3 linked regions of the Notamacropus eugenii genome follow. The protein of the gene in region 1 purifies or fractionates together with the protein of each later gene. This does not show direct contact. Links are inferred from orthologs where the notes say so. Each region holds a gene or a part of one and is shown in the gene's direction. Other genes may lie near its edges.

Evidence for each region.
Region 2: the proteins of OS9 (region 1) and alpha-1-antiproteinase-like purify together in Homo sapiens (affinity purification with western blotting; 4 studies listed by BioGRID). This does not show direct contact. The link is inferred for Notamacropus eugenii from reciprocal best matches to the Homo sapiens genes OS9 and SERPINA1.
Region 3: the proteins of OS9 (region 1) and HSP90B1 purify together in Homo sapiens (affinity purification with mass spectrometry; 6 studies listed by BioGRID and IntAct, with this or other methods). This does not show direct contact. The link is inferred for Notamacropus eugenii from reciprocal best matches to the Homo sapiens genes OS9 and HSP90B1.

The regions. Positions count from the first base shown.
Region 1 is NC_092874.1:233,054,200-233,061,535, forward strand, and holds the start of OS9 (protein OS-9), read left to right. Parts: upstream 1-4,332; 5' UTR 4,333-4,403; coding exon 4,404-4,565; intron 4,566-5,084; coding exon 5,085-5,261; intron 5,262-5,856; coding exon 5,857-5,920; intron 5,921-6,038; coding exon 6,039-6,115; intron 6,116-6,339; coding exon 6,340-6,438; intron 6,439-6,704; coding exon 6,705-6,915; intron 6,916-7,029; coding exon 7,030-7,134; intron 7,135-7,328; coding exon 7,329-7,336. UniProt on the Homo sapiens protein: Lectin component of the HRD1 complex, which functions in endoplasmic reticulum (ER) quality control and ER-associated degradation (ERAD).
Region 2 is NC_092872.1:364,863,252-364,870,825, forward strand, and holds the start of alpha-1-antiproteinase-like, read left to right. Parts: upstream 1-4,496; 5' UTR 4,497-4,635; intron 4,636-7,574.
Region 3 is NC_092874.1:286,659,619-286,667,592, forward strand, and holds the start of HSP90B1 (endoplasmin), read left to right. Parts: upstream 1-4,917; 5' UTR 4,918-5,296; coding exon 5,297-5,348; intron 5,349-7,158; coding exon 7,159-7,261; intron 7,262-7,974.

The DNA.
Region 1 (7,336 bases):
CCTGAGGCTGGGAAGCAGCATTTGAATCTCAGACCCCAAGCACTGGCTGGGTGGATCTGGAGGTGAGGTGGGGGTGGAAAGAAAACTCAGAAGGCAAGTCACTGTCTGGGAAAAGGACCAGAAAAGGGAAAAAAAATAAGACTATAGAAGGTTACTTTCTTGGTGAACAGATATTTTCTCCCTTCCTTTCTGATGAGGAAGAACAATGCTTACCATGACGGAAAGACACAGAAGTCAAGGCTTCTGTATCCCACACATCCAAAATAAATATACCATGGGCTCAGGCCATGGAAGAGCTCAAAAAGGATTTTGAAAATCAAGTAAGAGAGGTGGAGGAAAAACTGGGAAGAGAAATGAGAGAGATGAAAGAAAAGTATGAGAAGCAGGTCAACACCTTGCTAAAGGAGACCCAAAAAAATGCTGAAGAAAATAATACCTTGAAAAATAGGCTAACTCGACTGGCAAAAGAGGTTCAAAAAGCCAATGAGGAGAAGAATGCTTTCAAAAGCAGAATTAGCCAAATGGAAAAGGAGATTCAAAAGCTCACTGAAGAAAATAGCTCTTTAAAAATTAGAATGGAGCAGATGGAAGCTAATGACTTTATGTTAAACCAAGAAATTACAAAACAAAACCAAAGGAACGAAAAAATCGAAAATAATGTGAAATATCTCATTGGAAAAACAACTGACCTGGAAAATAGATCCAGGAGAGACAATTTAAAAATTATGGGACTACCTGAAAGCCATGACCTAAAAAAGAGCCTAGACATCATTTTTCATGAAATTATCAAGGAAAACTGCCTTGAGATTTTAGAACCAGAGGGCAAAATAAGTATTCAAGGAATCCACAGATCACTGCCTGAAAGAGATCCAAAAAGAGAAACTCCTAGGAACATTGTGGCCAAATTCCAGAGTTCCCAGGTCAAGGAGAAAATATTGCAAGCAGCTAGAAAGAAACAATTCAAGTATTATGGAAATACAATCAGGATAACACAAGATCTAGTAGCTTCTACATTAAGGGATCGAAGGGCATGGAATAGGATATTCCAGAAGTCAAAGGGACTAGGACTAAAACCAAGGATCACCTACCCAGCAAAACTGAGTATAATACTTCAGGGGAAAAATTGGTCTTTCAATGAAATTGAGGACTTTCAAGCATTCTTGATGAAAAGACCAGAGCTGAAAAGAAAATTTGACTTTCAAACACAAGAATGAAGAGAAGCATGAAAAGGTAAACAGCAAAGAGAAGTCAGAAGGGACTTACTAAAGTTGAACTGTTTACATTCCTACATGAAAAGACAATATTTGTAACTCTTGAAATTTTTCAATATCTGGGTACTGGCTGGGATTACACACACACACATGCACATGCACATGCACACACACATAGAGACAGAGTGCACAGAGTGAATTGAAGAGGATGGGATCATATCTTAAAAAAATGAAATCAAGCAGTGAGAGAGAAATATATTGGGAGGAGAAAGGGAGAAATGGAATGGGGCAAATTATCTCTCATAAAAGAGGCAAGCAAAAGACTTTTTAGTGGAGGGAAAAAGAGGGGAGGTGAGAGAAAAACATGAAGTTTACTGTCATCACATTCCACTAAAGGAAGGAATAAAATGCACACTCATTTTGGTACAAAAACCTATCTTACAATACAGGAAAGTGGGGGATAAGGGGATAAGCAGTGTAGGGGGGATGATGGAAGGGAGGGCATGGGGAGGAGGGAGCAATTTGAGGTCAACACTCATGGGGAGGGACAGGATCAAAAGAGAGAATAGAAGTAATGGGGGACAGGATAGGATGGAGGGAAAGAAAATTAGTCTTATACAACACAACTATTATGGAAGTCATTTGCAAAACTACACAGATATGGCCTATATTGAATTGTTTGTCTTCCAAAGGGAAGGGGTGGGGAGGGAGGGAGGAAGAGAAGTTGGAACTCAAAGTTTTAGGAACAACTGTCGAGTACTGTTCTTGCTACTAGGAAACAAGAAATACAGGTAAAGGGGTATAGAAAGTTATTTGGCCCTACAGGACAAAAGAGAAGATGGAGACAAGGACAGAGAGGGATGATAGAAGAGAGGGCAGATTGGTGATAGGGGCAATTAGAATGCTTGGTGTTTTGGGGTGGGGGGAGAGGACAAATGGGGAGAAAATTTGGAACCCAAAATTTTGTGAAAATGAATGTTAAAAGTTAAATAAAAAAAATAATAAAAAAAATAAAAAGAAATTGTCTCTTTAGCTTGCATCTGGCCAATCACTGTCTTCAGATAATGACATAATCTTTACTACTCTACTGGCACAGGACTGCTCAGCATGGCGTGCCCACATCAGAAAGGGTGCTGTGCTCTTTGAGCAAAGCAGAATTGAGACAGCACAAAGTAAACATAAGATGCGCAAATTTGGGATATCCACCCCAAATATTCACATGGATTATCTGTGCCCAACCTGTGGTAAAGCATTCTGAGCTCATATTGGTCTGATCACCCACAGTCAGACATATTGAAATTTCACTTTATCCCAGTGATGTCATTTTGGTCCTCTTTGAAGACAGACAACAACCACCACCAACAACCAATACCACATCAGCTCAAAACCAGCTGCAAGGCCTAAAGGCAGTTAAGGCCTTGATCCTTAGTCAGAGCCTCAAGGCAGCTCCTCTAGCACAGTTATAATGGCTTGTTCTTGGGCAATATGTATCTGTTCCACCCTTGCTTCTTGAAAGCAACTTGATTATTAAAGGAGTTGATTATTAAATTTTCAGTTTGAGTACTGATACCTCAGAAATTGTCAATTGCTACAAATCAGGCCTTGATTTGTTTATTTTTGTTGATTTCTGAACTTCAAAAAGTTTTAATAATGTAGACTAACCTTAAGAGTGTTTGTGCACACATTTTTTTTACCCCTGGGAGAGCCCAGTTATGTAACATTTAATGGCACACTCCTGTATCGTTTTATAAATGTTGTTTGAACTAAGCAGGAATGCAGTAAAAGACTCAGAGAATGAAGTCATTACCAGACTAGAAGACTGGAGACTATAAATAATAATGATAATAATTATTAATTAAATTAATATATTGTATAACAATGTAATATAATATAAATATAACATATTACTATAATAATAATTTGCAGAATGTTTTATATCCATTATCTTATTTGAGCTTCACAAAACACCTGGTTCAAGGTCATCAGAATACCATGGCAACTAGGTAGGGGTATGTAAGTGATATCTGCCTGGCAGAAGATAGAAACCTTGGTCCAACAAACAAATCACCCTTGTTGTTCATCCTTCTTTTTTTGAAGAGAAGCAATGAAATCACAATGTTTTGGGTGATATCTTGACTTGCTAGTAAGAATGGATTTTAGTGAGGCACAGTTGGAAAAAGACGTCAACTTCACTCTCCCTTCCAAAACCATCAAATTCCAGTGACAGGACAAAAACCAAGATGACTGGTGATGGCCCGGATGCAATGGATGTCCATTTTAAAGACTTTGGGAGGAAAGGTGCTCCCAGGGTTACAAATTAAATAGACATTATTAATCATTATTGCTGTCAAAGGTTGCAAAGCACTCTACATCTGTTATTTTCACAACTCTGAGGCAGGTGCTATAATTATCTCCATTATGCAAATGAGGAAACTGAGGATGAGCGACCTTCCCAGGGTCGCACAGCACTTTGTAGTCATTAGGGTAACAATTAGACGTCATTCCAGTTATCCCTTCGCGTATCATTCCATCATAGTAGCACTGCAGCCAGAGGTTCATTTTGATCTTTATTAAAATGCTTATTCCCGTTTTTATGCGACACTCAGGGTCGCAGAATCCGGCCCCATTGTCCTGCCAGCAGGTGGCCGGTCCCGCTGCAGAGCGGCTGGCCAGCTCCTCTTCCTTGCCCCGCCCAGCCGCAGAGGTAACGAAGAAGGATTAGATCTGACAGCAAGTCCCGGTCAGGGGGATACCTCGGCCCCTGAGTCCTCCGTTCAGGCACGCCCCTTTTAGAGGAGAGCTGCTGACCTAGCTTCTTATTGGCTGACTCAGCGCTGACTCCAGCCAATCCACTCTCGGCAGGTAAGAGGCCTTGGAAATCTCAGAGCCGAAGCCCACCTCTTCCCACTCCCTCCCACCACCACCACCAGCCCTGCTCTCGTCCGTCAGCCGGTCTTTCTGTCTTTCTGTCCCTCCCTCCGTCCATCTTTCCGTCAGTCCTTCTCGTCTGTCCGCCAGTCCGTCGCTCTCATACATACTGTCCGACATCACGTAGACCAATAGGAGCCCGCGTCTCCATGACGGGCATAAGCGAGGACTAGTGAGATCCACAGGCGTAAGGGGGAAGGGCGAGGCGGCTGCCCGGTTCAGGGCGGAAGCGGCCGCTTTCGGGTTAGGGTCGAGGGACGAAAGATGGCGGCGACGTCGCTGCTCTTTCGGCTGCTATGGCCTCTGCTCCTGGGGCCGCTGTTGTCAGAGCTGCCGGCCTGCGTAGTCGGGAGCTTGAACCTGGAGGAGCTGAATGAGATGCGATACGGCATCGAGATCCTGCCGCGGCCTGTCATCGGGGGTCAGGTGAGCCCCGGGGGAGCAGGAGGCGGGGAGGGGGGGAGCTGGGGCCAGGGGCTGGGGTGGGGCGTCCGGGGGAGGGGGCGACAGGAGACCGAGGACCCCGAGAGACGAGGGCGAGGCGAGGGGAGGTATGGAGGAGGACCCTGAGAGGCGTCGCTCCATCCCTCTGCGGAGGAGGGCTGGCGACCTCGGACATCGTCCAGCCGCAGAGCCTCCGCTTTACAGATGGGGAAACTGAGTCCCCGAAAGGGAAAATGAGATCCTGGCTCCCCTTGTGAGTCGGAGGCGGGGGAGCAAGCCGGGCCTCCCGGTGTCGCAGAAAGAAACAAAATGCACGGAGCATTCCCCGTGCGCACGCTGACCATGCCAGCCCTTCCCTCCCATAGTTCCCATTTTCCTCTCTGACTGCTGCGTTCGTCTTCCAGGCTTGGCTCGGATTGTCATTGTTGTCAACGATCTCCGTCAGCCTCTGTCCCTCTGTTCTACCTCTGACCCCCCAAATTGTGTTCTCTCCTCTTCCAGAGCCAGTCCTCAGAGGTCGTGATTGTCTCCTCCAAGTACAAACAGCGATACGAATGCCGTCTACCAGCTGGAGCCATTCACTTCCAGCGGGAGCATGAGGAGGAGGCCCCTCCTTATAAAGGGCCTGGAGTCCCTGAGCTGCTGAACCCAATGAGAGAGGCGCCCTGCCTAGTGAAAGTGAATGGGGCTGGAGGAGGGAAAAGGAGGGCAGGACAGCAAATTAAATTAGAGTGGAAAGCCTGGAGGGTGGGCTGTTGAGGAAGAAGGGGTATAGGGACTAGGGCAGGGTGGGTATAAACAGGCCACCCAAGAGTAAAGGCAGTGATGAGGACAAAAATAACCCTATACTCGGGATAGACCCCAAGCACAACCTAATAGAATGTTGGGGGATAGAAGGAGTAATAGTATTAGAATGAGATTAGAGTGTTTGGGAGGAGGAGTTTATCGACAGAGGGAGAAGTTGAGGGGTGGGGATAAAATTAAAAGCGGAGGATCTCTAAAGAAATGTGATTGTTTCCTCTTCTCATGAAAGGCACAATGAGAGGGGAGGGCAGAAATTGCAGGTGGAGGAAGTTTAGACTGCAAGGAAGCTTTGAAGAAATACCTAGAAACAGGGAGATCAAGGGGCAGTAAGGGATCCTCTTCCATAGAGAACATAAAGGATTCCCTGCCAAGGAAGGTACAAAAGTGGACGAAAGCATCTTAAGAGCTGGACAGACTTCCCCCTCCCCCTCCTCACATCCCTACTGACTGTTAACTTTGTCATTGTTAGACCAAGGACTGGTGGACATATGAATTTTGTTATGGACGCCACATACAGCAATACCACATGGAAGGTGATTCCTCTAATTCCTTCACTCTCCCACTGCAATACTAGATGAAGGGTAACCCACCTTATTCTGACCTCTTACCTTACAGAAGAGTAACAATTCTACCCTTTGGTGTTTCTTCTAGATTCAGAGATCAAAGGTTCTGTTCTTTATCTTGGATATTACCAATCTTCCTTCAACTGGGATGATGAGACTGCCAAGGTAGTGGTGGTTGGAGAGTTGGGAGGGAAAGTAAGGATCCTGGTTGGAGTCTTGAGATCTCTGGGGAATAGGGAATGGGTCTGGGTGAGTCAAACTAGCTTCTCAGGGTTGAATGACCATTCAGTCTTAGCTCCTAGGGCCTTTTTCAAATATTTTAGCATTTTCAGGGCTGCCCCTCCTACTTTATCATATTTCCTCCCCTCCCCCCCACCTCTACATATCAGGCCTCCAAGCAACACCGTCTGAAACGCTACCATAGTCAGCACTATGGAAATGGCTCCAAGTGTGACCTGAATGGTCGGCCCAGAGAGACTGAAGTCCGGGTGAGTCTAGGGAAATGGAAGCCATCTCTTCTCATAACAAAGCACTTGAACTGTGAGGAGACAGAGTAGAATTGTCTTCTAGGGGCCAGTCCCCAAAGATTTAACTATCTGATGCTCCTTTCTCTGGCTTGTCACTCTAGTTAATTCTCTATATAATGCAGGCTTTTATTTCCCTTTTCAAATCTTCCCCTGCCACTCCCCAGTAGCAACAATAGAGTTGCCATTATTCCAATCCCTCCTGAATTAACTTGCTCTCTCTCGGTCAGTTTCTGTGTGATGAAGGTTCAGATGCTTCGGGGGATTACATTGATCGGGTAGATGAACCTCAGTCATGTTCTTATGTGCTCACTATTCGAACCCCTCGACTCTGCTCCCATCCTCTTCTTCGACCTCCTCCAAGTGCTGCCCCCCAGGCCATCCGATGTCACCCTACCTTACAGCCAGAGCAGTATGGAGCATATATCCAGGGACAAGTGTGTGAGTCTCAGGGGGACTGGGATATATTTGAAGGAGAGGAGTGGGGAGAGAGGGAATATTTTGAACACCTAGTCTCATGCTCTCCAATTAATTTCCCTTTTTATTTTTTTCCAGTAGATGCAAAGCAGAAAATTGAAGAAATCTCTGAGAAGCTTCACAACCCAGACCTTGAAATGTGGAGTGAGACACAGTTTGGGGTCCTCGATACAAAGGGAACAGGTCATATTTCCTCTCAGTTATCCTGTGAGGTGGCTCTTCTCTGCTAGTTTTAGTAGCTCCTGGGAAGGGAAGGGGGTGCCATCTATCTTGACTGCTTTGTTCCACCTGTTGAGATCCATACAGAGGAGGTGCAGGTGTAGTTCCGCATTTCCTTTTTCTCTTCAGACCTTGCTTTGTCCCATTCCTACTCCCAGGTATGACC
Region 2 (7,574 bases), on another chromosome or scaffold:
CCCTCAGCCATTTCCACAGTAGCAATGAAAGAGGGTGGGAAGGATGAGGCAGAGAGCTGAGGGCCACTTTATATTTTGCTTTGTTTTATGAGTTACCACACACAAAGAACTCACCAGTCTTTCCATTATGGTAGAACTTGCCAGAACTAATGTTCTCTTGGCATAGCCTTCAAGAATCTAGATTCCTTACATATCACAATGAAGCTTTAGGATAGGAATTCCCTCCAAAAATGGAGAAACTTTCTTAAACTGAACCCTGGAATTTTCACCAGATTTTGTTAGGTCTACCATTTGGAGCAAGCAGAGTCAATTGGTCAGTAAGTATTTGTTAAGTGCTTACTATATACTAGGCACTGTGCTGAGACCTGGGAGTATCAAGAAAAATAAAAAGACAGTCCCTGAATCAAGGGACTCAGTCTAATTGGAGAGAAAACATGCAACAGCTATGTACAAACAAGATATATGCAGGATAAATTAGAGACAATCAATAGCACTAGAGCTAGAAATGAAAAGGCTTCTTGCAAAAAGTAGAGTTTCAAAAGCAGATCATGTCTAATAACATTTTAACTGATGAAATCTAACTTGATCCTCTACCTTCAATAAGGTTTTCTCCATTGGGATCACAATCTCTATCCTTTCTTCTCATTTCAACTTACGGTCAATATTTACCTTGGATCAATACAGTTATTCCAGCTTCCCAACCTATAATCTGACAAAATAGGCCTTTGCCCATAAGTATAATATGCTTTCCTTCACCCTCTGCTCCTTTCCCCTTCACACTGGAAAGCAAAGTTTTCATCCCATGAAGGGGGAGGGAGGGAAGGGAGAGAGAAGGAAGGGAATCTCTTCTACTGCAGTCCAATAGCTGCCCTGTGATGGCCACTGAGCCCCAAGCAACTACTGGAATTAGCTTCTGTTTCTCTCTAAAGTCATCTGCAGGACAGGACACTCCCGTTCCTCCTCCTCTTATGGTGAGGCTTGTAGTGCCTTCATCAATCTGCTTCTCTTTCTCCTCTCCACCTCCTTGCTTCCCTGACTTCCTTCAAGTACCAGCTAAAATCCTACCTTCTGTGGCCTAGCCCTATCAGATATCAAATTGTATTATAAAGGACCAATCATCACAACCACTTGGTACTGGCTAAGAAATAGAGGAGTAGATGAGTGGAATAGGTTAGATACTCAAGACACAGTAGTCAATGAATATAGCAATCTACTGTTTGATAAACCCAAGGATCCCAGCTTCTGGGATAAGAACTCACTGTTTGACAAAAATTCCTGGGAAAACTGGATAACAGTGTGGTGGAAACTGGGCATAAACCAATGCCTGATACCATATACAAGAATAAAATCCAAATGGATACATGATCTAGGTATAAAGATTGATACTATAAACAAATTAGGGGAGCAAAGAATAGTGTATTTGTCAGATTATGGAGAATGGAGAAATATATGACCCAACAAGAGATAGAGGACATTATGAAGTGCAAAATGGATAATTTTGATTACATTAAATTGAAGTTTTTGCACAAACAAACCCAATGCAACCAAGATTAGAAAGGAAGCAGAAAACTGGGAAAGAATTTTTGCAACTAGTGTCTGTGATAAAGGCCTCATTTCTAAAATATATAGAGAACTGAGTCAAATGTACAAGAATACAAGTCATTCCCCAATTGATAAATGGCCAAAGGATATGAACAGGTAGTTTTCAGAAGAAGAAATAGAAGCTATTATAATCATATGAAAAAAATGCTCTAAATCACTATTGATTAGAGAGATGCAAATCAAAACAACTCTGAGGTACCACATCACACCTATCAGATTGGCTAACAGGAAAATCAGGAAGATGATAAACGTTGAAGAAGATGTGGGAGAGTTAGAACACTAATTCATTGTTGGTAGAACTGTGAGCTGATCTAATCATTCTGGAGAGCAATTTGCAACTATGCCAAAAGTTACAAAAATGTGCATACCCTTTGACCCAGCAATATCACTTCTGGAACTCTATCCCAAAGAGATCACAGAAATGGGGAAGGATCCCACATGTACAAAAACATTTATAGCAACTCTCTTTGTGGTGGCCAAGAACTGGAAATCAAGGGGATGCCCATCAATTGGAGAATGGCTGAACAAGTTATGGTATATGATACATGAATGTAATGGAATACTATTGTGCTATGAGAAACAATGAACAGGAAGACTTCAAAGAAGCCTGGAAGGTCTTATATGATCTGATGCTGAGTCAAAGGAGCAGAACCAGAAGAACTTTGTAAACAGCAACAACCACAGTGTGTGAGGAATTTTTCTGAAAGACTTAGCACTTCATTGCAATGCAAGGACTTAAAAAATTTCCAAAGGCCTCTTGAGGAAAAACACCTTCCACGTCCAGAGAAAGAACTATGAAATTGGATCACAGATAGAAGGAGACCATTTCCTTTTGTATTTTGTTTTGTTTTGTTTTATGGCTTCTCCCATTCATTTTAATTCTTCTTTGCAACATGCATTTAATAGGAATGTATGTGTAGAACCTGTAAAAGATTGTACGCCATCACAGGAAGGGAGAGGGAGGGAGGAGAAAAAAAATCTAAGATATATGGAAGCGATTGTCAAACACTGAAAACAAATAAAATAATTTAATTTTTAAAAAATAATAAATAAATAAATAAAATCCCACCTTCTAGAGGGAACTCTTTCCAGTTCCCCCCAAATCTATTAAATTTCCTCCATCAATTACCTCCAAATTATCCCATATATAGTGTGTTTGTGCATTGTTCTTTGCAAGTTCTCGTCCCATTTGACTGTGAACTCCTTGAGAGCAATGACTGTCTTTTGCCTTTCTTTGTATTAGGACAGTGTTTGGCACATGGGAAGAGATTAATAAATATTTTCATTGACAGACTACCTGGATGTTTTCCAGTTTTACTCTTAGCTTCCTAAAATGTGGTGCCCAGATCAATCCTCCAGAATTTTGACCAGAGCAGGGTACAACAATTGAAATATCAATTCCTTTGTTCTGGATATTAAGCCTCTGTTAAAGCAGCCTAAATTTACACTGCCATTAGGGGCTTTCATGTTCCACTGCTACATCATATTAAGCTTGTATCGCACTCAGGTGTCCCATGTTTCCCACAAGAAATGGTCTTTAGCCATATCTTTCTTTGTTTTCTCTTTCTGAAATTGGTTTTTTAAAAAAACCCAAGTGTAAGATTTTATATTCACATCAATTAGATTTCATCTTTAGATATGACACCTCTTTCTACCCTTTCAAGATTTCTCTGGATATCAGTTCTGTCAAGCTACTTACTGTGGAACACCTCTGTCTACTAGGAAGTTCTTTTCAAGCAAAGTTTGCGCTCATAATTTCTCACCACTACTATCCCCAATTGCTATATGGAATTACTCAGAAAAAAATATCTATTTTTTTTCTACCTCACAGCACTTCAAAGTTTTGAAGACCTGAAGTTCCTGTTAAGGTTTCAGTTAATATTCATGACACAAGACTGAAACACCCTGTGATCCCATCTCCAGACTAAAACCAGATTATCAGATCTCTGATGAGGAGCTTGTATGCAGCCTGGACAGACAGTTACCAGGAGTAAAAACTTTGTAGCAGCCCATCTCAGCTACCTCAGGATCTGTGGCTGCATCTCAGAGAAATAAGAACCTAAACTTAGCAACCTCCCTTCACACCCAATGGGGTTTTGTTGACAGAGTCCCACTCTACTTACAGGTGATATTTCTGCCTTAGGTAGGTCCACCTGCCTTTTAGGAGAGAAAATTTGCTTTGATTATGCAAAAGAGATAGGTTAAACCCCAAATGTGTGAATAAAGATAAAAGAAAAACAACAGAATTCAGGCTGAACATAATGACCAGTGTTAATTCTAACTGGTTGATTTTGAAAAGAAATGTCTCTTCTTTCTGTAAAAAAAATGAGGAATTATTACACTTTAATGTTAAATGTGATATCACTCCTAATTATTATGTTAGATATTTTTATATAACCATGTTTTTGCTTCTGTGGGTTTTCCAGTGACAGGACTATGGGGAAGGGGAAGTGATTGTTCTATCCAAAAAAAAAAAGGAAAGTGTCTCTACACCTCTATCTACATAGATTGAGGTCAGATTATGAAGCCTTTCAGTGTCACATGTTACTGAGGCATTCTCCAAAGGCCAATGAAGTCATTAGAAGTTTCTGATTTGGAGACAGGCAAAATAAAAGTAGGAATTCTTCCAGAGTGGATATGAATCTTCCCACTCCATTCACTTAAAAGTGGATTTAGATACACATGTTAGAACTTTAGGAAGATCTTGTGTCCAAAGAACATAAGTTTAAAAGACAAGAAACTTAATGTCAAAGATTTCCCTTGGATAATGAGAAGAAGAATCGTCTTGCACCCCAACTGATACTGTGAGAGAATGGCAAGAGCATGGAAAGGAACAAGATTACAAATGGACAAACAGACTTAGTCATTGTTTGTTCTGTACAAATAACCAGTTATGCTAGTTAATGTTCACTGGAAGAAGAGTCTCATCCACCCCTTTCCATAACTACTTAGCTATTTAAATAACACCCTAGGAAACAAGAGGTTCTGGGTCAGCTTCCTGGTGAGTTACTGCAGGACTCTGGAGAAGGAGAGGTAAGTAATGTATTCCCCTGTTAAAAACCTCAATCTCTGTGGTCTGCACTAGAGCTGGTGGGCTTGGAATCCTCAGGGAAGTGAGGGAGAACGGAATATACAGTGACTGAATTTCAGTTCTTTGAAAGAAAACTAGACCTTCCCAAAGAAAGGGGGAAGAAGAAGACCTATGTTCATGGTCCCTCAGAAGGAATAATCATAGCCATGGCTTTGTGACAACCAGCCAATCAAACTAGGTTTTAGCCTTTGTCAAGAAGGTCTTGAGGCAGCTTTTTAAAAAATAACAGATTATGAAGAACTTGCTTTTATTTGGCAGTCTACCATGAGAAAAAGAATGCTGAACTTGTGGTCCCAAGGTATGGTTCAAATCTTTGCTTTGACATTTGCCATGTGCCCTTGGATCATTTGCCTGACCTCTGTAGTGAAGTCTGTTTCCTTATCTATAAATGGTAATAATAATATAGACACAATATACCTTAAAAGGTTGTTGTAAAAACTCAAGTCAAACAATAAATCAAATAAATAAATCAAATCAAATTGATATAGTGCCTTACATATATTATCTCATTAAGTTTCACAACAGCTCTATAGGTAGATACTGCAGGCCTTATTGGTTGTTGTGGTTCAGTCATTTCAGGCATGCAGAACTCTTCAGGACCTCTTTTGAAATTTCCTTGTCAAAGATACTGGAGTGGTTGGTCATTTCATTCCTCAGTTCATTTTACAGATGGGGAAACTGAGGCAAACACTGACTTGCTCAGTGTCATACAACTTAGTGAGTATCTGAAGTTAGATTTGAACTCAAGAAGATAAGTCCTCCAAGCCCAGGGTCCTAACCACTGAGCCACCTACCTGCCCATGGCATTATTAGACACTCATACTATTGTGATTTCAATTGTAGGGGTTTCCCAAATGAGAAAACTTCTACCAATGTGGGTTGCCACCTTCTCTACAAAATGTCTTAAAGAGAATCTAGCCTCAAACACTTATTATCTCTACAATCATGGGTTCTTATCTCTACAAAATGAGGACAAGAATAATTGTCACTTAGTGTCATGCTTTGAAGTCCCTTTTGAAGCTGAGAATCTGTGATTCTGGTTCCGTTACTTTCAGCAATAAAAGGGACCCAACCTCCTCATTTTCTCTATGAAAGAAGGAGTGGCAGCCCCCATGACTAGAAAATAGATCTTCTGGTTCCAACATGCTTTCCACTACCTTCCTCTCTCTTTGAGACAAACAAGTTGTAGAAACAGGATATGCATTGACTTACCATTAGATGTCATTGACTGCTCTATCTTCTCAGATAAAGCAAACACAATAGGAGAAGTCATCACTATGGTTTCAACAACTTGGAAGAAGTAGGATCTAAGGTAACATGATTTGGCCTGGCAGAGATAAAAAAAGACCTTCCAGGTAGAGGGTCAATTTAAGTCACAGAATTTACATCTTTTAGAATCAGAAGAGTTTTCAGAGGGATTAATCTAATTCATAATCCTCACCAATGCCAAGGTCCCCAATATAATATACTAGATAAGTCATCAACCAGTCTCTTTTTCCAGGCCTCTAGTGAAGGGAGACTGCTTTCTCCAAAGGGAGCCCATTCCTCTTTTGGAGAGGAAAGTTTTGAAGGAAGTGTTTCCTTACCTCAAGAATAAATTTGCCTTTTTGCAATGTTCCTCCAGGTTCTTCCCTCTGGGCCAGAACAGGAAAAATAGAAATCTTCATATATGTATTATTATTAATGCATAAATCTGGAAGTTTCATTCTTCACTCAAAGAAAATATACACTGACTCAGTGTGACCTACAGAAAATACAAACTTGAATTGCAGCTATTATAAGGGGCCTGGGAGGACATACCCTATAACTTTCTCAATTTACAAATGAGGAGAGTGAAGCCCAGAGAGGCTAAGTAATTTCCCCAGAGACACAGAGAATTAATTAGAAGTCTGATAAGAAGTATCAGAGGCAGGATTAGAACCCCAATCCTGAGACTCTAATTACACTGCTCTTTCTACTGCACCAAAGCTGTAGTTCCCCTCAACTAGCTATTAAAGGTTTCAATCTCCTTTTCCAACCTTATTCACAGAATTCTCCTTTCACTTACTTTAAGTTCAATTAATCAATTAATAAGCCTGCATTAATTAAGCACCTACTGTGTGCCAGGCATTATGTCTGATAGGTTTTCCCTGACTGTCCCCACTACCACCCCAGATAAAAGTTGTCTTTCCCCAAATTTGTCACAGCAACTTGTCTGCAGAATTCCTTTCCTTACTGCATTCTGCATTGCACCATTCAATTAATAAACATATATTAAGTGCCTACTATGGGGCAACACGGTGCTCACATTTCCTCATATTTATTTGGGTATATTCTTTACTTTAGTCACAGACTTTCATACACAGTGTTTTTCTATCTATTGCCTCTATCTCTATCTCTTTATCACTTAACTCGTTATAACTGTTCAATCTCTCTTTAATCTCACCCAGTTTACTTTTCCTTACTACCACTGAAAGCTCATGGAAAATAAGAAATAGAGGGGGCTTCTTTAGGGTTAGATTTTTGCATATTTGTGTCCAAAGTTGATTGTGAAGCCTCTATGTGTGTTCGTCCTTCATTGCCAAAGACCATTCAATCAGAGAAATGATGACATGACTTTCACTTGACTTTGTTTTGAGTGAGGGAGGGCTGTGCAGGTCACCAGCCTCACTTCTCCTCCAGAGCCATCTGAGTCCAGTGACCAGATATTCATCAGGATGACTGGAGATGACCCAGGATGAGGCAAGTGGGAATAAGTGACTTACCCAAAGTCACACAGCTGTGAGTGTCAAGCATCTGAGGTGAGATTTGAACTCAGGTTCTCCTGACTCTTCCACTGGTGCTCTATCCACTGCACCACCTAGCTGCCCCAGTACGTTTGACACTCACTAGCTGTGTGACC
Region 3 (7,974 bases), about 54 Mb from region 1:
ACCAGGTCACTAGGACCTAGAAACAGAATCCTGACCACCTCTCTTTGGAGGTGACCCAGGTCATGGCAGTGACTTCTAGACCTCTCTACCTAGGGACTATTTTATTGTTCACATGATAACTCTGCCTTTTCAATCGGAACTAAAGGTACTAGGAAGAACCAGCATAAGAAAATGGTATATTTCTGAATAGCTCAAGTCCCTCTTCTAGCTCTACTTCTACAATGTTCTCTTCATGAAGTTTTATCTTTTGTTAGGAACATGGCATTAGAGATGACACCTGGTGAAGACATCTACCTGAATAGGAGGCCATCTCCCACACTTACTCCAGAAAGTCTAAGGTTTGCACCAAACTGAATAATGATCAAGAAATCCAAAGAAAACTATTACAAGTGGTTTAGTCCACCCAGGACTATACAAGAGGTCACTGGACCTTGGGAGATATAGGAAAGGAAGCCCCTAGTAAAGCCAATGGAAGCAGAGGCATCCTCCCAGGGTGACCTGAGACAGGAGAGGGAGGGGTAAAGTCTATGAGACTGTGTCTGCAGCCAGCAAGAGCAGAGGGCTTATCTGGGAAAACCATAGGCTGGTCAGAAAGCTAAGGACTCTGCCTACTCCCCAGGGTATCCTCCAAGGTTGGAAATATTCTGGCTCCTCCCTTTCCCTTAGTTTCCCTGGATTCCTTCAACTCTGCTAAATCTCCCCTCCTTTTATAATTCCCCCAGCTGCCAAAGCCATCCATCCTCTTTCAAGCTGCCTTATTTAAACACTATTGGAGCATCAGAAGATGAGCTCCTGCACAGCAGAGGTTTTTGCCTCTTTGTAGCTCAGCACAGTACCTGGCACACAGTAAGCACACAGACTTTAGCCAAATGTTAAGTCTTGTTTTCTGACTTCCTCTAAATTTGTTGGGAATCTGAGTGCCTACTTGGGTGCACAATTGGCAACGTAGGCACTTAACTGGATCACCTGTGTACTGGTCCACAGTCCTTACACTGAAGACTGTAAATTGGGGATGAGGAGGATGGTCTTGGAGTTAAGAGAGAGCTCTAGAGTTGGTATTATTTGCAATCTATGTCTGATCATTTGTTTAACATTACAGAAAGCATTTGCAGCTGTCAAGATGCTACTTTTTAAAGGTACCAACCCACTACTAGCTAAGAATCAACCAACTGAGCCAGCTTGACATTGCTAATATCAAAGATGAAGCCCAATAACAAAATAATACAATGCTATCTGTTTATAAGTGAGAGGCAGCAGGCCTAGTAAAGAGAGAGAGCAGGCCTCCAAGCCAAGGAGCCTTGGATTCAAGTGCGTCCTACAACACCTACTTGTTAAGTGACAAGTCACTGAACCACTGAGGCATCTCTTAAAGACTCTAAGTTGAAAAGAACACGCTGACCTGCATTAGCAGAGGGAGTTCCCTACACCAAGGAAATCACAAGTCCAGTCTCCCTCCTATATTTTAAAATTAGTTCATAATTATAATTAATGTTTCTAAATCAGGAGTTATTAGCATTGAATTAAAGCAAACTCCCATATCGAGAATGGCAGGGAGAACGGCTAGGTTAATTTCACTAGGAAGGTGTGGTCAACTTCAAATGCCTCAACATGACTCAATACACCAATTGCTAATTTTTAAAAATGAAATACAAAAAAAATACACCTAATGCTAAAATTATCCTGAACCTCAATTTAATTCTTAATTATTCTGCAGGCACTTCAGAATCCCATATAGTCTTAAGGTTATCAGTATGAATTACTGACCATCATTGTATGGCATTAACAACGAATATAAAAAGTTGTAGGGAAAATAGCTGAAACTATATGGACCCTATTCCATACCCCCCCCCAAAAAAAAAAAACATATACACCCTTTCAGAAGTCTGGCAGCCAAGAATTTGTTTATTTATTTCTATTTCAGCTCCCCCTTAACCAGTTAATCTTCTAACCGCCATCAAAAGTCATCATACATTGGTCATCTCAACATGAGTCTGGAATGGGGAAATGGAGCATTAGTGTGGTGTAGGCAGAGGGTGGTCCAGAAAAGACAATCAAGAAAATAGTGACCTTATCTCCACGCTCTAGCTTCCACCCCATTTGGCTATTGGGTAGAGAGAGAAAAAATACACAGAAAAAAAGAAGAAGGGTGGGAAGGATAACGTAGTTTTTGAAAGGAGAAAAGGTTGCGAAATTTAACACCTTAAGGGAGTTGAGTTCACCCCTAGGATGGAGCCTAGGAATAAAGGAAATTCTCTTCCTTCTTCATCCCTTTATGTTGCAAGACCCCTAACTTAAGGGCTTGGAACTTCAAAAAACACACTGATCTCTCTCTTCTGAGGTCCATCTGAGCCATCAGTTGGTTATCATTACCAACTGATACACATGCAATGCCTTTAACTGGACTAGCCAGTGAACGTACCTCAGAATCATCTTTGGTAGACTTGCCACAGAGTATTAACCTCTGCTAGGCTGCTTTTTTGAACTAATTCCTACTGTCCACTTGTTTATTTAGCAGTCCTTTCTCACCAAAGCTACAGAACACCAGTGTTTGCATTCCATATGAACCAAATCACAATTATGAAAATTTAATCCTTATTTTGCATATTCTCTCAGACACAGTTCATGTGTTACTTAGTTTTGCTGAACTGTTTCCTTGTTCTTTCTTTCTAAAATCTTGTTACAAGGGAAATAAGGCTAGCTGGGTAGAGAATGGGAATGTTCAGAAATGAATGGAACACAAAAAATACGAATAAACTACAAAAAAAAAAAAAAGCCTGGCAAAGGAAGAAGCTCAACAGACATGGATTGAGGCTTTTTAAAAAACTAAGTGTGCTCACTAATAACAAATACAGCTAATCCAAGCAGAGGTAAACAGTTTACCACAATGAGTCAACAAACAGGAACCACAAACAGGTGACCTACTGGCATTCTAATGTCATACTTGTAAGAAATTACTAAAAAGCTTATTTCCCCTAAGGTCCCATGTAGTAGTGATAGCTTACAAAACTAAAATGAAGGCATTATTTTTTTCAAAAAAGGGAGTGCTAGAAATATATGTGGGTGTGTAATATATGTATGTAAAATAAATGTATTTTAAATATAGATAAAACTCTTCCAATTATTTTCTATTTATCCAGTATCATAGCTTGCTTTGTATAATTTATCTACACTCTGTCTCTTAGATCGGAAACTCCTTGAGGGTAGGGATTATCTTTTGCCTCTTCTTGTATCTCTGGGAGTTTACTGGAGTGCCTGAAACCCAGCAGGTGCTTGTAAATATTGATCGATCAGATGATTTCCTAAGATTAGGAATTTGTAAAATGTTTCTAAGGAGAAACCCAAGATGTTTCCCCCAATTTAGTAACTGATGGCCCTATCCAGCAAAGGTGCCTGTGAAAGAAAATAAGCAACGTGTTTCACTTACCAGCTACCGAGGAGTTAACACTACCTCATCAGCTTCATCACAGGTTTTGCTTTCAAATGCTCTGCAGGTGCATCCTCTGAGCACTCATTTGGGACTTGGCTTCCTCCTTCTGTGTCGTCTAATTTGGACAGTTCAGTTCACACCGGTCCCCTGGGTCTGGTACAAGGTGAGGGGTCATAACTGTGATGGAGCAGGTACTGGGTGCTGCTGGAAGTCTCGCCCCCTCCCCCCAAAGGTCACTCCCACTCCCATTCCCCCTAACTGTGACCAAGAGAGGAGATGAAGGTGAGCTGGGCCCTTGGCAAATAATGCGGCTTCAGGCTCCCCAGGGCTCAGTCAAAACTTAATTTACCTAAGGGATGGTTACTTTCCAGGAAAAGTCTTTGTACCTGAGGTGGTGAGCTTGGGACAGCTCACAAGCACAGAATTTCCCTGAGACTGGAGGGAAGGTCACAAGCCCTCTCCTTCCAAGCGAATCTGGGAGGGTGTCACAGACTTCTGGCCAGGGGACATGAAGCAGCTTGGACATCAGGGGCTCCCTGCATGCTGTGGGAGGAAATGACACTGAGATTACACAGCTGACCCCCTTTAAAGGAGCTGTGTGACCTTGGGGCCAGGCCTGGGCCGATCTGGGCCTCAGTTTCCCTTATCTGTCAAGTGACGGGCTCTAGGCTGCATTATCTCAGAGGTCCCGTCTCAGCCCTGGATCTATGCTCCTAGCAGGTCACTTTCCCTCTTTGGGCCTCAGTTTCCTCATCTGTCAAGGGAAGAAGTAAGATTAAACCCCTGCGGGGACTCTTCCACCTTTACATCCAGGACTAAGTGACTTATATAGAGGGTCAGGTTAGGAGGAGGGAGGAGGGCAAGAGGGGCAAGCTTCATGCTTTTTTATCTCTGCCCTCCTACCCCAAGCCGGGCTCCCAAGGGCAGGGGCATGCGCTGGGGGACCAAGCTTGGAAGGGTTAGAAGGCCACGAGAAATCAGAGTACGCACATGGTTAGCCCAGGAGGCAAGCCCAGGCCCTTTCCCGGCATGCACCTAAGTGTAGTTCTGGGGACATTGCATGCTGGGATATGTAGTTTCTCGCGGGGTGCTCGGCTTCGCCCCGCCCCCCTCCTCCCTCCTCTTCGGTCTCTTTGGGCACTAGCTCTTCGAACTCCTGAAATTCCTGTTTCCCGAGAAGCCACCCGCCCGAGTAGCCTGCGGCAACCGGGGCAGGGCTTACTTGGGGCTAGCCGAACTGGGAGCCTTATACGACTCTCAACGTATTCTTCGGGGGAGGAAAAGCGAAGAACGTGTTGCCATGGACACCGTTTCCCTAGTAACGGGGTAAACGCGGTCGAGGAAGGTTTAGAAGTGCTTCCGGAGCGCGACTTCACCCCAAGGAAGGGGAGAGGGAGGCTCTCCCTGAGCTCGCGCTCATTGGTCGACCTTCGTCCTCTGTCGGAGCCGCCCGAGCTAGGGGCCCGCGGAGGCCGGTGATTGGTCGGGCTCGACGTAGCTTTCGTGGGCCAATCAGGCGGAGCCACGCTTCGGCCCTCGGGCCCCTCACCTGGAGGGCTGTCATTGGTGAATCACCGCCTCCTCCCCCCCTCCGCTGCTTCCCATTGGCCGCGCGGGGTGCGTGGTGCGGCGTTATTGGCCGGTTCGTGTTTCCCGTCCCCCGCCCGCAAGGAGTGGGGGGTGAAAAGCGAGCTGCCCGGCTTGGGGGGTGGTGGGCGGATCGCGTCGCTGTCGCTGCCCTCTGTGCCGCCGCTGCCGCAACCCAGGGCGTGAGGAGCAGAACCCCGCCAGGGGAGGCGGACGGAGGACGAAGCCGTGAGCCGGAGCTTGACGCGCCGCGCCGTGCCGGAGTTGACCCACGCCGCCGCGATGAAGGGCCTATGGCTGCTGGGCCTCTGCTGCGTCCTGCTGCTGGCCTGCGGTGAGTGAGGAGGCGGCGGGGGCCGGGCCTTCGGGAAGGCTCCGCGGCTCCCCCGGGGCCTACCCCCAGTGGCCGCGCCTGGAGCGCTTTGCCTGCCGGGGCCCGGCCCGCCTGCGGCTTCCGAGGCCTTCCTCTCCTTGTCTCGGGTCCCCCGCCCCTGAAATGGGAACGACCGTGAGGAGGGAGCGCGAGCAGCCGAGGGGCCTCAGTTTACCTTCCCTGTAAAATGGGGAGGACCACGTGGAGAGAGCGGCGCCGTTTAGAGAGGCAGTGGGCCGTCCGTGCCTGCCGCCCCCCACCCAGCCTTAGTTTATTCGTAAAGATGGAGATGCTGGTCCAGAGAAAGGCCACATAGTCAGCGTATTAGGTGGCGGAGAGGCCAAAAAAAAGGGGGGGGGGGGGGACTAGGCTACCCAAATTGTGAAAAGGTCATCTCAGTGAAGTGCCTACTATGTGCCAGCCGCTGGTGGCGACCCCCCTCCCCCGGGGAAAAAACCTCACCCAGTCAGGAAACCTGCCTTCATCAAACGGTCCACCCGAGGTCGTTAAGCACCTACTATGTGCCAGGCTCTGGGCTGAGAGGGAGGAGGCACAGGGAGGAAAAAATAAGTCCCTGCTTTCGAGGGGCCCCACTGTAACCGCGTGCAAATGTCTGAACAGATAGGATATGTAATACAATGTTCTGTTGTTATTCTAGTGTTATTAGAAATCTAATATTTGAATACTATTCTAATTTACGTTATCATTCTAATATTACATGATATCTCTAGAGTCTTGTTCTGGAACGAAGGCACTGGAATTAAGGGGGGTGGGGAAATGCTTCTGGTAGAAGATAGGATTTTAAGGGGGACTTGGAGCGGGGAAAGGGGGCCAGCAAGAAAGAATCGAGATGGGGTGGAAACCTTGTCTACAGTGATGCTGAGGCACCGGAAGGATGGCTGCAGGGCCAGCCTTGGAGTCCAGGATGAAAGTCAAGTCAGCATCCCTCCCCTCGAATTCCCTCTCTAATAGGGGCTGATCTGGTACAGAGCCTTATAAAGGCAGAGCTGGGTTTGATTCTTTACTTTAGACAAGGTACAGAGGAAATAACGCTAGCTTTGTAGTCAGAGGAATGGGGTTCAAATCCATCTTGTTGACACAATCTTTAATCACATTACTTCAGTCTCCCTGAGGCTCAGTTTGCTTCTCTGTAAAATGAGGATGCTGGGCTGGATGACCCTTTGAATATGTTCCTTTCCCCTCCTTGGGTCTCCAGTTGAACTATCTGACCCCGGGGGACCTTGATCTCGGATTTCTCTGCTTGGCCTCCCTGGATCTTCTTTGTAGACCTCAGTGGCAAGAGCTGTTGTTCTGCAGTGATGGGCAGGTGCTTACAGTTAGGGCCACGAAGCAACAAGTTAAACTACCCAGCCTTGTAAAGCCCGCTGAGGGGCTTGTATCTTTGTTGTCCATTTGGGTCTCACCACCAGAACTATCTGATTTAGAGACTGGGGAAAAGCCCAGAGAAGGGATAGGACATACTTGTGGTCACAGAGATACTAAGGATTCTGGCTGGCACTTGAACCCAGGACTTTCCAAGTAGAATGCTAGCAAGTCTGTTTCTGTGGAGAAGGCATGGGGTGGAGAAGTTGGTCATCCCTTTATTCAGCCCCAATCCTTGAAACAGAAGCTGATTTTGGGGTTCAGTCCTATGTTCCCAAGGTTTCTGGGCCCCACCCCTTTCCCTACCACCCTGCATCCCCTGTTAGATAATCTGCTCCATTTGACTGGAAAGCCAGTTATCTCACACAGGAATGTCCTTTTCCCTTAGGAGCAGTGAAAGCAGAAGACCAGGTGGATGTGGAAGCCACGGTAGAAGAAGATCTGGGTAAAAGCAGAGAAGCTTCTCGGACAGATGACGAAGTCGTCCAGAGGTTGGTGGTGACCTGAAACTGTCTTGATGACTTACTACATGGGGCCAGATGTTTGTGTTCTCTAGTCTGAAAAAAGAAAAGATACCTGAAATCTTTTGTCAGGTATCTGAACAAAATTGAAATGATTCTATTCTCTACCAAAGGCACAAGCAAGTGAGGTTTCATTTTGTTTTCTTGTTTTGAATTTTACCTCTTGGCCCCCTTACAGCTGGTCCAGTAGAACTGAAGACCAGGATGAGCAACAGGTTTATAAAGCATCAGAACGAATTTGTCCAAGTATAATTAACTACTCCTTATCAGAAATTAATATCAAATGAAGAGATTTAATGTCCATGGGGTAAAAAGGGGAGTATCAGCAATAAATCAGAGAATAAGTGGTTATTGGTCCTTGCTTATTGGGTGGGTGTGGATATGTTTGTGTATGCATTTGTTTATTTATTTATTTGGAAGTGCGGGGTGGAAATATATAGAACCTAAGAATATATTTCTGCCTTAAAACCTACATATTCGCATGTGCGTTATAGTACAATACAGATAAGATTCTAGCATTGAAGTATCCTAAACAGCTGAAAGATAATTCAAGAACACTGTTGACAGCCAAATAGTGTGGTTTTAGTTTAGAAACTAGATGGAGAAAAGTGCCTATGCAAAAGAGCAGATTTCAGGGCAAAGGGGTTGTAAAAAAGGGAAAAGTTGTGTTGGTAGATTGTAAA